Oreochromis niloticus: one gene and its partners. The protein of the gene in region 3 interacts with the protein of the main gene of each other region in a biochemical or structural test. Links are inferred from orthologs where the notes say so. Each region holds a gene or a part of one and is shown on either strand. Other genes may lie near its edges.

Evidence for each region.
Region 1: the proteins of sirt1 (region 3) and rps19bp1 form a complex in vitro, tested with the Homo sapiens proteins (2 studies listed by BioGRID and IntAct). The link is inferred for Oreochromis niloticus from reciprocal best matches to the Homo sapiens genes SIRT1 and RPS19BP1.
Region 2: of the proteins of sirt1 (region 3) and srebf1, one has a biochemical effect on the other in vitro, tested with the Homo sapiens proteins (2 studies listed by BioGRID, with this or other methods). The link is inferred for Oreochromis niloticus from reciprocal best matches to the Homo sapiens genes SIRT1 and SREBF1.

What each region holds. Positions count from the first base shown.
Region 1 is NC_031971.2:9,196,559-9,200,314, forward strand, and holds the start of rps19bp1 (active regulator of SIRT1), read right to left. Parts: upstream 2,466-3,756; 5' UTR 2,330-2,465; coding exon 2,275-2,329; intron 805-2,274; coding exon 631-804; intron 355-630; coding exon 257-354; intron 1-256. UniProt on the Homo sapiens protein: Part of the small subunit (SSU) processome, first precursor of the small eukaryotic ribosomal subunit.
Region 2 is NC_031969.2:18,056,094-18,059,849, forward strand, and holds the start of srebf1 (sterol regulatory element-binding protein 1), read right to left. Parts: upstream 2,381-3,756; 5' UTR 2,117-2,380; coding exon 2,011-2,116; intron 1-2,010.
Region 3 is NC_031978.2:25,308,690-25,312,445, reverse strand, and holds the start of sirt1 (NAD-dependent protein deacetylase sirtuin-1), read right to left. Parts: upstream 2,266-3,756; 5' UTR 2,224-2,265; coding exon 1,818-2,223; intron 1,394-1,817; coding exon 1,271-1,393; intron 1,107-1,270; coding exon 871-1,106; intron 769-870; coding exon 616-768; intron 1-615. Other genes in the region: dnajc12 (dnaJ homolog subfamily C member 12), read left to right, coding at 2,921-2,998, 3,551-3,629. UniProt on the Homo sapiens protein: NAD-dependent protein deacetylase that links transcriptional regulation directly to intracellular energetics and participates in the coordination of several separated cellular functions such as cell cycle, response to DNA damage, metabolism, apoptosis and autophagy.

The DNA of each region.
Region 1 (3,756 bases), on a different chromosome or scaffold from region 3:
AGATCTTTACTGCACAGGATGTTTATTGTTTGCCGACATTAAAATTGATACCATCGGTGCATCTACTAGCATGCTGAGCGGTACCACTGGATGCCACCAGTATTTTTGTGTCTGTGAGTAAGCTGCTTTTTTATGTAAATATGACTCTTCCTTTTAAATCCTGCTTAACATTTTGGACTCCAGTGTTCCAAGAATAGACAAGAGTCACAGATAATGACAGTACTTGTAAAATGTGAGGGACTGATGACCTGGTTACCTTCAGTGTGTCAGAATCTGTTGCTTTACAGCCAGTTTCCATAAAGTATTTGAGGTTCTCACTCAAATGGCTCTTCCCCTGCTTCTTCCTGAACTCCTCTACAATTCAAACCAAAGAACAAGAAATTTAGAGCACCATCAACTGAATATTAGACTGTAAAAGAGTTTACATTACTGAAACAGAACAATTATTCAGATTTGAGTTCTTTTTCAGTGAAAGGCTGTACATTTTACAACTTAGTTTAAGACCAATGCTGCCACCTACTGGTCCTTACATAAAAAACACAAAAGCATCTGTACTAATTGTTTTTACTTTTTCACAGATGTCTTCTATTCTAAGCATGAAGAAGACTGAAATACAGCAAGCAGACTGACCCACTGCAGACTTGATCCTCTTGTCTTTAACAGTGGCTTTGCTCTTGCCAGGCCCGAGACGGCCTTGCAGTCTTTTGACCTGCTTGGTAACTCCCTGCCGCTTGGTGCTCACCAGCTCCATCACTGTGGCTGAGCTGGGGGTCTGCTGCTGCTTCTTCTTCACTTTAGTGACATCTGGCAGGAAACAAAAAGACAAGCACAAAACCCAAAGTAAGCTGCAGACAAGGAAACATGTTCTTTTAAGAATGTGAATCGATCTTATTGTCATTCAAAAGCTATACACTAATCATAGCATATCTGAATGGGATCGCGTTGCACTGGCTCACAACATTAATAAAAATTGTAGTAACAAACAGAGCTATAGAAAAATAATGTAAAATGCATAAAAAATATACTGTATAAAACACAGCAGTATTGTTAAATTACCAGTATATTACACTTATAGATAGTAATGGAGTATCACAGCAGCAGGGAGATCAGTCCACTGTGTGTGTGTGTGTGTGTGTGTGTGTGTGTGTGTGTGTGTGTGTGTGTAGATGGGAGGGGTATTAAAGAATTAAAGTTTAGAAACCTGATGGCTATGAGAAAGAAACTGTTCTGACTCTGAATCTGACTCCTCTGCTCCAAATACACTCTTCACCTGAGACATTGCTGTGCTCCCATTACAAGAGAACTACAAAGCTAGAAACATAGTGCTGCCGTCCACCTCCACCACAATGTCAAAGTCAAAGTCAAAGTCAGTTTTATTTGTCAATTTCTTCAGATGTACTTGCCATACAAAGGAATTGAAATTACGTTTCACACTGTCCCATGCGTAGACATAGACAACAATAAAGTGCAGATGCACAACATTTAGGTAACATACAGGATATAACAAGACAGGACCTACACATAACGTATAATAAAGTGTAATAAAGTAAATAAATGTTATTGATGAGAAGCTGTGTGTGAAAGACAGTGCTGTTTGTGGTCCACCAGTCCCCATCAATTGTCTCCGCTTGCCGCATTCTTTCATGCTGGACGATGATTGAGTTGAATGCGGAACTGAAATGCACATTGTGAGTCCTAAAAGGTGATAATCATTAAGACATGGGACTGGACTGTTTTTAGGAACTAGTATGATGGTAAAATTCTTGAAACATGATGGTCCAACTGCATGGTTCAGTGAGGTATTGAAGAGGTCTGTGAGGACATGACCCAGCTGATCTGCACATTCCCTGAGCACCAGTCCCGAGGCGCTGCTTTGGTACATCAGTTCTTCTCAGGGTCCTCCTGACATCAGCTGTGCTGAAACCAAGTACCCGCTCACCCAATAAGGAATTGCTTTCCTCACAGGAATGTTATGTAGGTTGAGGTTAAGCATAGTACGGTTATTCACATACGACACTTGTCTTTTTCAGGCTCTACGTTGCTATGATTTAATGACGACAACGTGATTTCCTTATTAAAGACCTCAGAAATAATATTCAAGTAATCAGGTTTAGACCTTAAAGCAACAGTATAAACCCAATCTATTACAGCCCAACTATAACAATGTAAAAACACTGATCAGTCACAAGGAATGGTCAGAATTATACTAGCGAGAGCGCTAATGTCCAATACTGTTAGCCAACTGGCACAGCAAGCTGAAGAGGCTAAACTGACCTTTAATGTCATTGCTCAGCAGCTCCAGTCCTCTCCTGATCAACGAAGCCGACATCCTGATTCAAGCTACAAAAGTTTTCTTCTACTTTCCACAAACTACATCCACAGAAATCTGCTTTTATAACCGGGTAACAACATGTGGTTCCATAAACATCCGGCAAGCTCGCGTGCGTCGGTTAAAAGCAGTCGGCTTGACGAGGTAAAAATGAACAAAGTTCCTACCTGGATAATGCTGCTGGACCTGTTGTTATATTTCAACTACTTTAGTTTAAATTTTTTATTATTATTATTATTAGTAGTAGTAGTAGTAGTAGTAGTACTACTGCTACTACTACTACTACTACAAGTGGTAGTAGTAGTAGTAGTATCAAAACAGAAGGGGCGCACTATGGAAACTGTGGGACAAGGAGAAAGTGTAGTAAAATGATAAGTCATGCTATTTTAAAATGTAGGTCGAAGCAATCTCCAGATTAGGTAAAGAGAATTAGCCAATGAGGTGGCTAATGAGTGGCTCCAGTCCTCTGTTATTTTCACTTCCCACGGAGATGGGTTAATAGATTACGTTTTCTGTTGGAGTTGAAAAAAAATATGCATGTCTCGCTGCAGGCTTACGAATGAGTGTCGGTTTTCAGACTTTGTCTAAAATGTAGGCTAATGCCATTTTTACTGTGTCCCCCTTTCACTTTTATCAGTGTCAGGTGAACCGAGGGGCGTGACGGTTTGGCATGCGCTCTCTCCCCACCATTAGTACCTTTGCTCACTCGACCGCTCCCGACTTTTGGCACGGTTTTGTTAAATACCGTGAAACTTAGGTAAACTTTGTAGCCTGTCTGCATCTTCAGTTCACCATGGCTCTCCAAGCCACCGCTCTGGTCACCTCTAAGTGGCTGGCTCGGGCTGTAAAGGTCCAGGGGAAAATGCGGGTCTTGGACACTTCGTGGTATTTACCCAAACTGCGGAGAAACGCAAAGAGCGAGTTCAAGAAGAAGCACGTGCCGGGAGCAGCTTTCTTTGACATTGACCAGTGCTGCGATAAAACCTCTCCTCTGGACCATATGTTGCCGTCAGAGGACTATTTTGCGGAATACGTCGGGAAATTGGGAATAGAAAACGACACGCACGTCGTGGTCTACGATGGCAGCGAGTTCGGGGCGTTCTCGGCGCCCCGTGTGTGGTGGATGTTCCGGGTGTTTGGGCACAGTGCGGTCTCTATGCTCAATGGGGGGCTCAGGAACTGGGAGCTGGAGGGTCGACCTGTGAGTGACCGGTACGTCAGACCCACAGCGACCGAGTTCAAAGCCTCTCTGAACCGCTCGTGGATTAAAACCTACGAGGATATCCTGGATAACCTGGAGACTAAAGAGTTCCAGGTGGTGGATGCCAGGCCCACAGGCAGGTTCAAAGGACTGGACCCTGAACCCAGAGACAGTGAGTAGTCTGCATTAGAGCCTTCATGATGGTTACAGTCCTGCATGCCCCACT
Region 2 (3,756 bases), on a different chromosome or scaffold from region 3:
AAGTCATCACTACTCCATCGCTATGCTTAACAGTTGATATTAGGTGTTTATACAGATATGCTGTGTGATGTTGTGCATTATGAATTATTGCTCTAAAAGTGTTCTGGTTTGTTTAGCTGCAACTTTGCTCCTGCATGTGTTTTTTTAAAATTGAACCCATATTTGTGTTCAGTCTCTTTCTAACTTTACTGTCATTAATGTTAAAATTTAATGTGCTGTAGATTATATAGCTCATGTGTTTTTTTGAGGTTTCTCTGACTGTGAGGTGAATTTGGACTTCCACAAATCCGTGTACTGCAAACCAAAAAAAACTTCTGCTTTTATAGAGTCCATTCTTTTTCACATGACTGTAAATGTAGTACATCACATGTACTTATGACTACAGCGGTTTAAAATTGCTAAAACCTAAATTTTGTTTTGTTTCATCACATTTTCCATTAACACTCAATAAATTACTAGAAAACTACTTTAAAACATCCTAAGCAGGAGATAGGGTGTCTTACGCAGTTTAAAAACACACTTAACAAGAAAGACTGCCAAACACAACAAGAAATACCGGGTACAGTACATTTCACACTTTCAGTTTATCAAGCCATTCATCATGTGCGTGCAGCTGTAGGTCCAAGAATCCAAGTGGTATATTATTAATGAATTATTAATCTTAATTTGTGCTTCTGCACATATGGACTTGTAGGTTTTCATTAGCATGATCTAAAAGATATAAAACATTTTAATATGTATCTTTTCCAGATGATTTGCTATATTACAAAGATTTAAAACTGACAAAAAACTTTACATGAACAAAGTGAGATGGCACGTGTTCACTAATCATTTTTTAATTCTAGGAAGCAGTGTGCTCTTGAAAGACATAAGACACTGAAATAATTTTTACAGCATTTTACGAGCACAGTTCACCGCGTTTAATTTATCTGTTAAGTGATTCTGAGTTCATGTTGTGTCTGCAGTGCAAAAAAGAAAAAAACCAGCAGCCTGGATTTGTGAAGCAGTGTTGTGTATGAGGTGATCGCTCTTGGCCAATCAGAGCGCATCTCGGAGACTTGCTATGCCGATCAGCCCAAGACAGGAAAAGAGAGGGAGAGCTGCCTGTGGCAATGAGTGTGAGGTTACCATCGAGCAGTGTCACAGAGGGTTACTGTCGGTCAAAGTCAGGGAGATGGAGAGCACGGCCGCAGGATATGAATACTGTTTACGCAGTGCGTGTTATCTTATTTACACGTCGACCCCTATCATAAAACACATACTGGCCAATTTAGGAAAATTTCCAGAAAACTCTAAATATTAACACTACTCGAAATACTCTTGTTATTTCGATGGGAGGCTTAAATTGTTGCACGAATTTTATATATGAATCAGACTATATATGCTGTTTGTTTTTGCAAAAAACTGCACGTGGATAGCACTATATTAGCGAGAAAAAAATAATGTCGTCCACAGAGCACATGGTTACATTAGTTTTCAACCGATTAATTTGGCATACATAAATGCATTATATTTGTCAAATCGGTCAAGTGAGGCTCCGTGAACCCAAAAAAGAGGAATGAACGACAGTAACCCCGGTCTATGGAGCACGCTGGGGGCGGGGCGCACACGAAGCTAGCTGTACGTTAGCTTCACATATTCGCCTCATGAAATGCGCTTCTATTTTTCTATTGCACAGTAAGACACACAGAAGACTTCTGATATTGCAAGAATCATCGTTATAAATTACTAACAAAACATCCCAAATATCACCTCCGGCTAACTGCTCACCGATAGTTAGCATGTAGCTAACAGTGGATAATGAAAGCTAGCTCTCAGCTTTTAAAAGCTTTTTTATTTTTTTAAAGGTGTCTTTGTATCGAATGTCGTTGTAAGTGATGTTGTTAGTGTGGTTATTACATGCAGAACACTTAAAGAATTGATACGAAAAGGAATGATAACACGTACGGTGTTACCGGTTTTAGCAAACACAACTGTTTTAAGCCAGCAGCAGCCATTATATTTTCTTACCATCAATGTCGCTTAGGAGGGCCGTGTCAATATCACTGGGGTCGTTAAGCGACAGTGTTGGATCCAGATTATCCAACGAATGATCGTCAAAAGACAGGCTGTTCATCTTTACTGTCGTGCCTGGGCTTTCCAGTGTAGACTTGACTGACTGTCGGAGAAATCGGAAACTTCTGAGTCCTTACATTTGACAAAAGGACCAAGATCCCTGTCCTTTCGTCACACACGCAACGCGAGCTGCAACTTTTCTTATTTTTGTAACTTTTGTGTCAACTAACTGCTCGCTACTAGCCCCATCATCATCCTGGGAAACTTGTCAAACCAAGCCAAACACCGACGCTCATTCACTACTAACGTGCTTACAGCGGTAGCCGGAGAAACCCATCCAACCGATGATGATTGACAGTTGCGCCAGCCAATCACCCTTGTTTGAACTAGATTCCCACGTCCCTGTTTCTCAGGCTTGTTTTGATTGTTTGAGTAAATGAGTGAGGGCATGTGGAGTATACGGCCACGATCTAACACAATTTACACACAAAAATCCGATAATGTACAAAAAACAACAAATAATTGCAGTAATCGAAGAACTGATGCCGTGGCTAGAAAATATTTATATGGTTACATTTGATGGGTATGAAAAAATAGCTAACTACAGCATAAACGAGTTAAGTTCTGATTCCAGAGCAGCTTAATACAGTTCTGAATATCTTTTATAATGTTTATTATAAATAAATATTTTTTTTTCTCTTTGTATACAGCATGGACATGTTTATTGTGGGCTTGCCACCAATAGCCAATCATAGTCGTGTGGGGCGTGCGCTTAGCGACAGCCAAGCTTGTTTGACTCGAATTAGCGGCTCCTCCTGTAGAACCAGTAAAACCGTCCAATGAGAAGCTCAGAATCAGAGTGGGGTGATCTGACGTTGCATCTATGGGTCTAGCGATTACATCATGTGTTTCGCTCCTGGAATGATGGAAGCAGGAACAGCAGGAGGAAAATAAACTGCACAACTACATGTAGCCAGAAGGACATAAAAAAATGAGCACATGTATTTTAACAAAAACAGTTCCTGCAACTCTTCGTAATGGTGGTTTACATTACATTTTTTTCTCTCTCTCCTATAATAATTAGTAACGTAAAAACAGGCAATGTGGGTGTTTCACAATGTCTATGTGTAACGCACTGTTATAGTAACACAAAAGTAGAACCCCACAACGGTATTGTAGGAAAATAGGTCAGTGACCTAGAGTAGCACTGGTAAGTTGTCAGTAAAGTTGGGTAAGATTATATAAAGTCCAGCATGGTTGGTGGTCAAGTGTGTAACAATAAGTCTTGTCCATTTGTTTGCTGGAGTTTGTAAAGTTGTCTAGTCTTGGTCCTCAGGTAAAGGAAGGAAAAAATGATTCTTTTAAGGATCTATGTTGTGCAAATATCCATAAACAAACACATGCGAGAAGGTGAAAGGCTCATTTCACAATGAATGACCAATACAGTACAAGATTGAGCCTGGGTTGCATCAGCATGTGCATGAGAAAAGAGAGACTAGTCACAGATCCCCTAAGTGTAAAATAACCACAAACAGTTATGAGGTAGAGGTCACACACTGCTAGTGTTTTATTGGGCAGTTACATACGTGCATTAGGTCAAATACAAATCTGACCATTAGTAATGGCAGCAGACGGCACAGCCAGAGAGACATGGAGCACCCACCGATAGAAAACAAGCCTCAATTCCATGTCCACAAAACA
Region 3 (3,756 bases):
ATATTGTGTCTGTGATAAGGGACCCTCTGACTTCTGTATAGCCTCTGTTTTTTTGTGCATCTTATATGATCACTCCTATGTTCTTTTACTATTTTACTGTTTGGAGAATTCCCCACGATCTTTTAAATTTCCCGTCTCTGCAGGGGCCTGGTCAAATGTGGTGGGAACACAAACAGTTCTTGTGATAAAATTTTAAGTTACTTTCGGAAAATTAAACAATTTCAAGCTAAAAGACATATGTTTTTTTTTTCTTTACTGTTGCCAAATGTCAAAATGGGTCAAATTTAACTGAACATTATGTTATGTTTAAGTTAACTTAAAAAACAGGCTCTGATTCTCCATTTAAAAGTCAGTGTAAACATGGGGGTGTGGGGCACCGTATTAAACAACATTACAAAATTTAACAGGAACTCAGAAGCGGCTTACATTTAAGTAGTTTCCCTTTATTATATTTTCTAAATGTCAACACCCTTTCACAGAATGAAAGTGCATAATCCTCTAGTCATGTAGACCTTGCAGTGGTCTACATGAAGAGATTTATGGTTTGGATTAAGATTATTAATTCTTTGTTAGGGAGCATTCAAATTGTTATTCTATTGTTTGTGTAACACCAACCTTAGCAAACTTAAAAAACGGTCTAGGGTCCCGTCTGAAGTACTCAATGTCAAACATAGCTTGAGGATCTGGAAGATCTGGAAAATCTACAGCAAGCCGTGCATAAATTCCATCTCTGGAGCGGAAGTCTGGTATTCCACATGAAACTGAAACCTACAACAAATAAAATAAAAATAATAAAGAGATGCAATGAACACTAATACTAAAAATCGAATTTACACAGTAGAGCTACATGATAAAGTAAAAAATGCATACCCCAGCACCAGTCAGCACTAGGATCCTTTTACTTTCATGTAGTAGCCTGACCACATCTTCTAAGGTATTAATATCTTTCCGCTTCTTTCTTTTTGGAGGCTCTGAGATGTTGATGATGATCTGCCACAATGTCATGTCATCTAAATCTGGTGGGAGTACAGTCTCAGGCAGCAAATCCCTCAGGATGGCCCTTGGATCTGTCTCTCTAATGTGCTGCTGGATGAAACTGTAGGAACCTGCGAGCAAGAACATAACATCTCAGTATGGCTGGATTTCCAAAACACACATACTTGTGCAATGCAAACAATTATTATGTGGTTTAAATATATAGATAAACACTAAATACATATCATAAGTGGCGTAATCTAAGATACTGTAGTTTATTAATGATGTTAGTTACCTATTTGCGGTTGAGGAGTCCAGTCGCTGGAGCTTGCATGTGAGGACCTGTCATCGTCTTCAGTGATGTGCTCTGGAGTGACAGCCAAACCGTTGGAGGGAAGATCATCGTGCCCAAGAAAATCTAAGTACAGACATGGAGAAATTTAACTAAATATGACTAGATACAAGTCGGGACTCTCTTTAATAACTGCTATGACCCGTTACAAAAGTAAATCGGTGAAAACAGCCTCTCAAAGTGAACTTTCAACCGGCTAACAAACGCCAAATTGCTCTCAAAGTTTTGCGTGGTTATGAAAAAGTTAAATGGACAAACTTGTGCTGACAGGATCACTGATAGAGAGTTAGCGAAATATAATTTAGTGGAAAAGTTCCCGTTTTTAGGAGTACAGGAGTTCTCGACACCCACACAGCATTACTGTATTTAACATTAGCTAAGTTAACTGTTTCACATGGAGCCAGTTAGCTCACCGGTTAAGTTGGCAAAGAGAATTTTTCTCACTGAAAGTCACTCAAATACTCAAAGTTTTTTTTTCTCTTTTTTATACCTGGACTGTCCTCGGTTCCGCCAAAGACAGCGGTGTCGTCAAGTTTCCCCACTGGCTTGTGAGTCTCGGAGAGCAATACTTCCAGTCCATTGTTGTCTCCGCCTAGCGCTGCCGGGGCCTGTTCTACCGCCATCACCGGCTTCGCTTCCTTCTCCGCGGGCTGCGCACAATTCAACGCCGCCTCCCAGCTCTCAGTTGCCGCGGAGACGCACGAGAACTGGTCCGCTTCGACGGCTTTCAGTCCATAGTTAGTCCCTGGACTGATTTTCGAAATCTTAGCGTGAGGTTCCCCCGTATCGGAGGCGCCCGAAAAGGCCGTTTTCAGACTGTTCTCTCCGTCCGCCATCTTCAGCCCGCAGAGCCGCTGAGCAGGAGCCTTCCTCTCGGACAGCTGGCTCATTTGCATAGCACACGTGACTCGTTCTCCACCAGTAGTCCCGAGCGAAACGCCCCCCTCTACGTCGCTGACATTATACCATAACAAATATTGTTGCCTTCAAGTGCTGTCGGATGATTTCTAATCATAGGTTAGCCCTCACGAATCTTTCAAGCCTTTCGGTGATGTGTTTCGCGTAAATATAAACGATTTTATATTGACGTGTAGTCGTTGTAAACTTAATTAATGCCCCAGTTACAAATCTGTCATTTTCTTTTTTCGTTGCCACACAAGCCTTAAGTATGTGAAAGAAATTTAGTTTTACTACATAAAAATATAACATTTCTAATTTCCTAAAGCTACCATTGCCTTTGTTTCTTAGCCAGATGAATAAACGAATTTTCTAGTAAGCAGGACCATTATCAAGACCCTTGAATGCATCATACGTCATACGGTGAAAAGGGGCAGCTGGGCTCTCCCAACAACTCAGGAGAGATCTCCCTTGAAAATTTCAACAGTTTAATAATCCCTGAAATCTAACGCTAGCTGACAAAACCATACTAAGACAAACTTTGCTAACAGTTAGTAGTTAGCTAGTTGGTTATAGTGAGTGAGTGAGTGAGAGGGGGAACCCTTTGGCAACCCTTTAACTGATCAGCTGTGATCACGTTCAGCAGCATTTGTGGTCCGTTAAAAGAAGCCATACGTGCTTCTCCGACAGATTTTTATGGAGGCTGTTTTGAGCTGTAAACCTGAGGATTTGGAGGATTACTACGGGTTACTGGGATGTGATGAACTGTCATCGGTAAGTTCTGGTCAGTGGGTTTAAGGCTCAGACTATTTGCTGGGTTGCTGAACGGATATAGTCTCGATCTATAAGTCAGTAATTATTTAGGGAGAAATGGGGGTTAAAAACATAAAATACTACATGAGACATCAACGATCAATAGCCTGTACACTGCTGAGCCAAAAAATGTAAAAATAAAAATGTATGTGTGCCTCAGATTAGGCTGAACCAACTGAGACCTGTTGATGTGAAACTAGTCGTGCGTCATCCAGTGTCTGCCAGCCAGCATTTAAATTCATTTGTGTATAACTAGATTAGATATGGAATCAGTGTGATTTTTTTAAATGTATCTTACTAAAATAAATCTTTGATTAGCAACATCAACACACATATCCACTGCGGTCTTGTGATCGCCAATTTTCACTCAATATATTACTCAACAATCAGCAACAGTCATAGACTGGCAGAGCTGAGGGTCTCAAATAGTCAATAACACGGTCAAGATAACATCGATCTGATTGATTAGATCACATCAGACTATGAGGTTTGTTTTGTTTTGTTGTCCTGCAGACCGAACAGATTCTCAATGAATACAAGATTCGAGCCTTGGCATGTCATCCAGACAAACACCTCGACAGCCCAAGAGCAGGTAATGCACACACACCACTAACTGTGTGTGAGTCATATTTCATATAACCTTTTTTTCATAGACCGAAGCAATAAAGTAATACGAAGTGTGTTATTACCGCTTCAATGCCTCTTAATTCACACTTTTC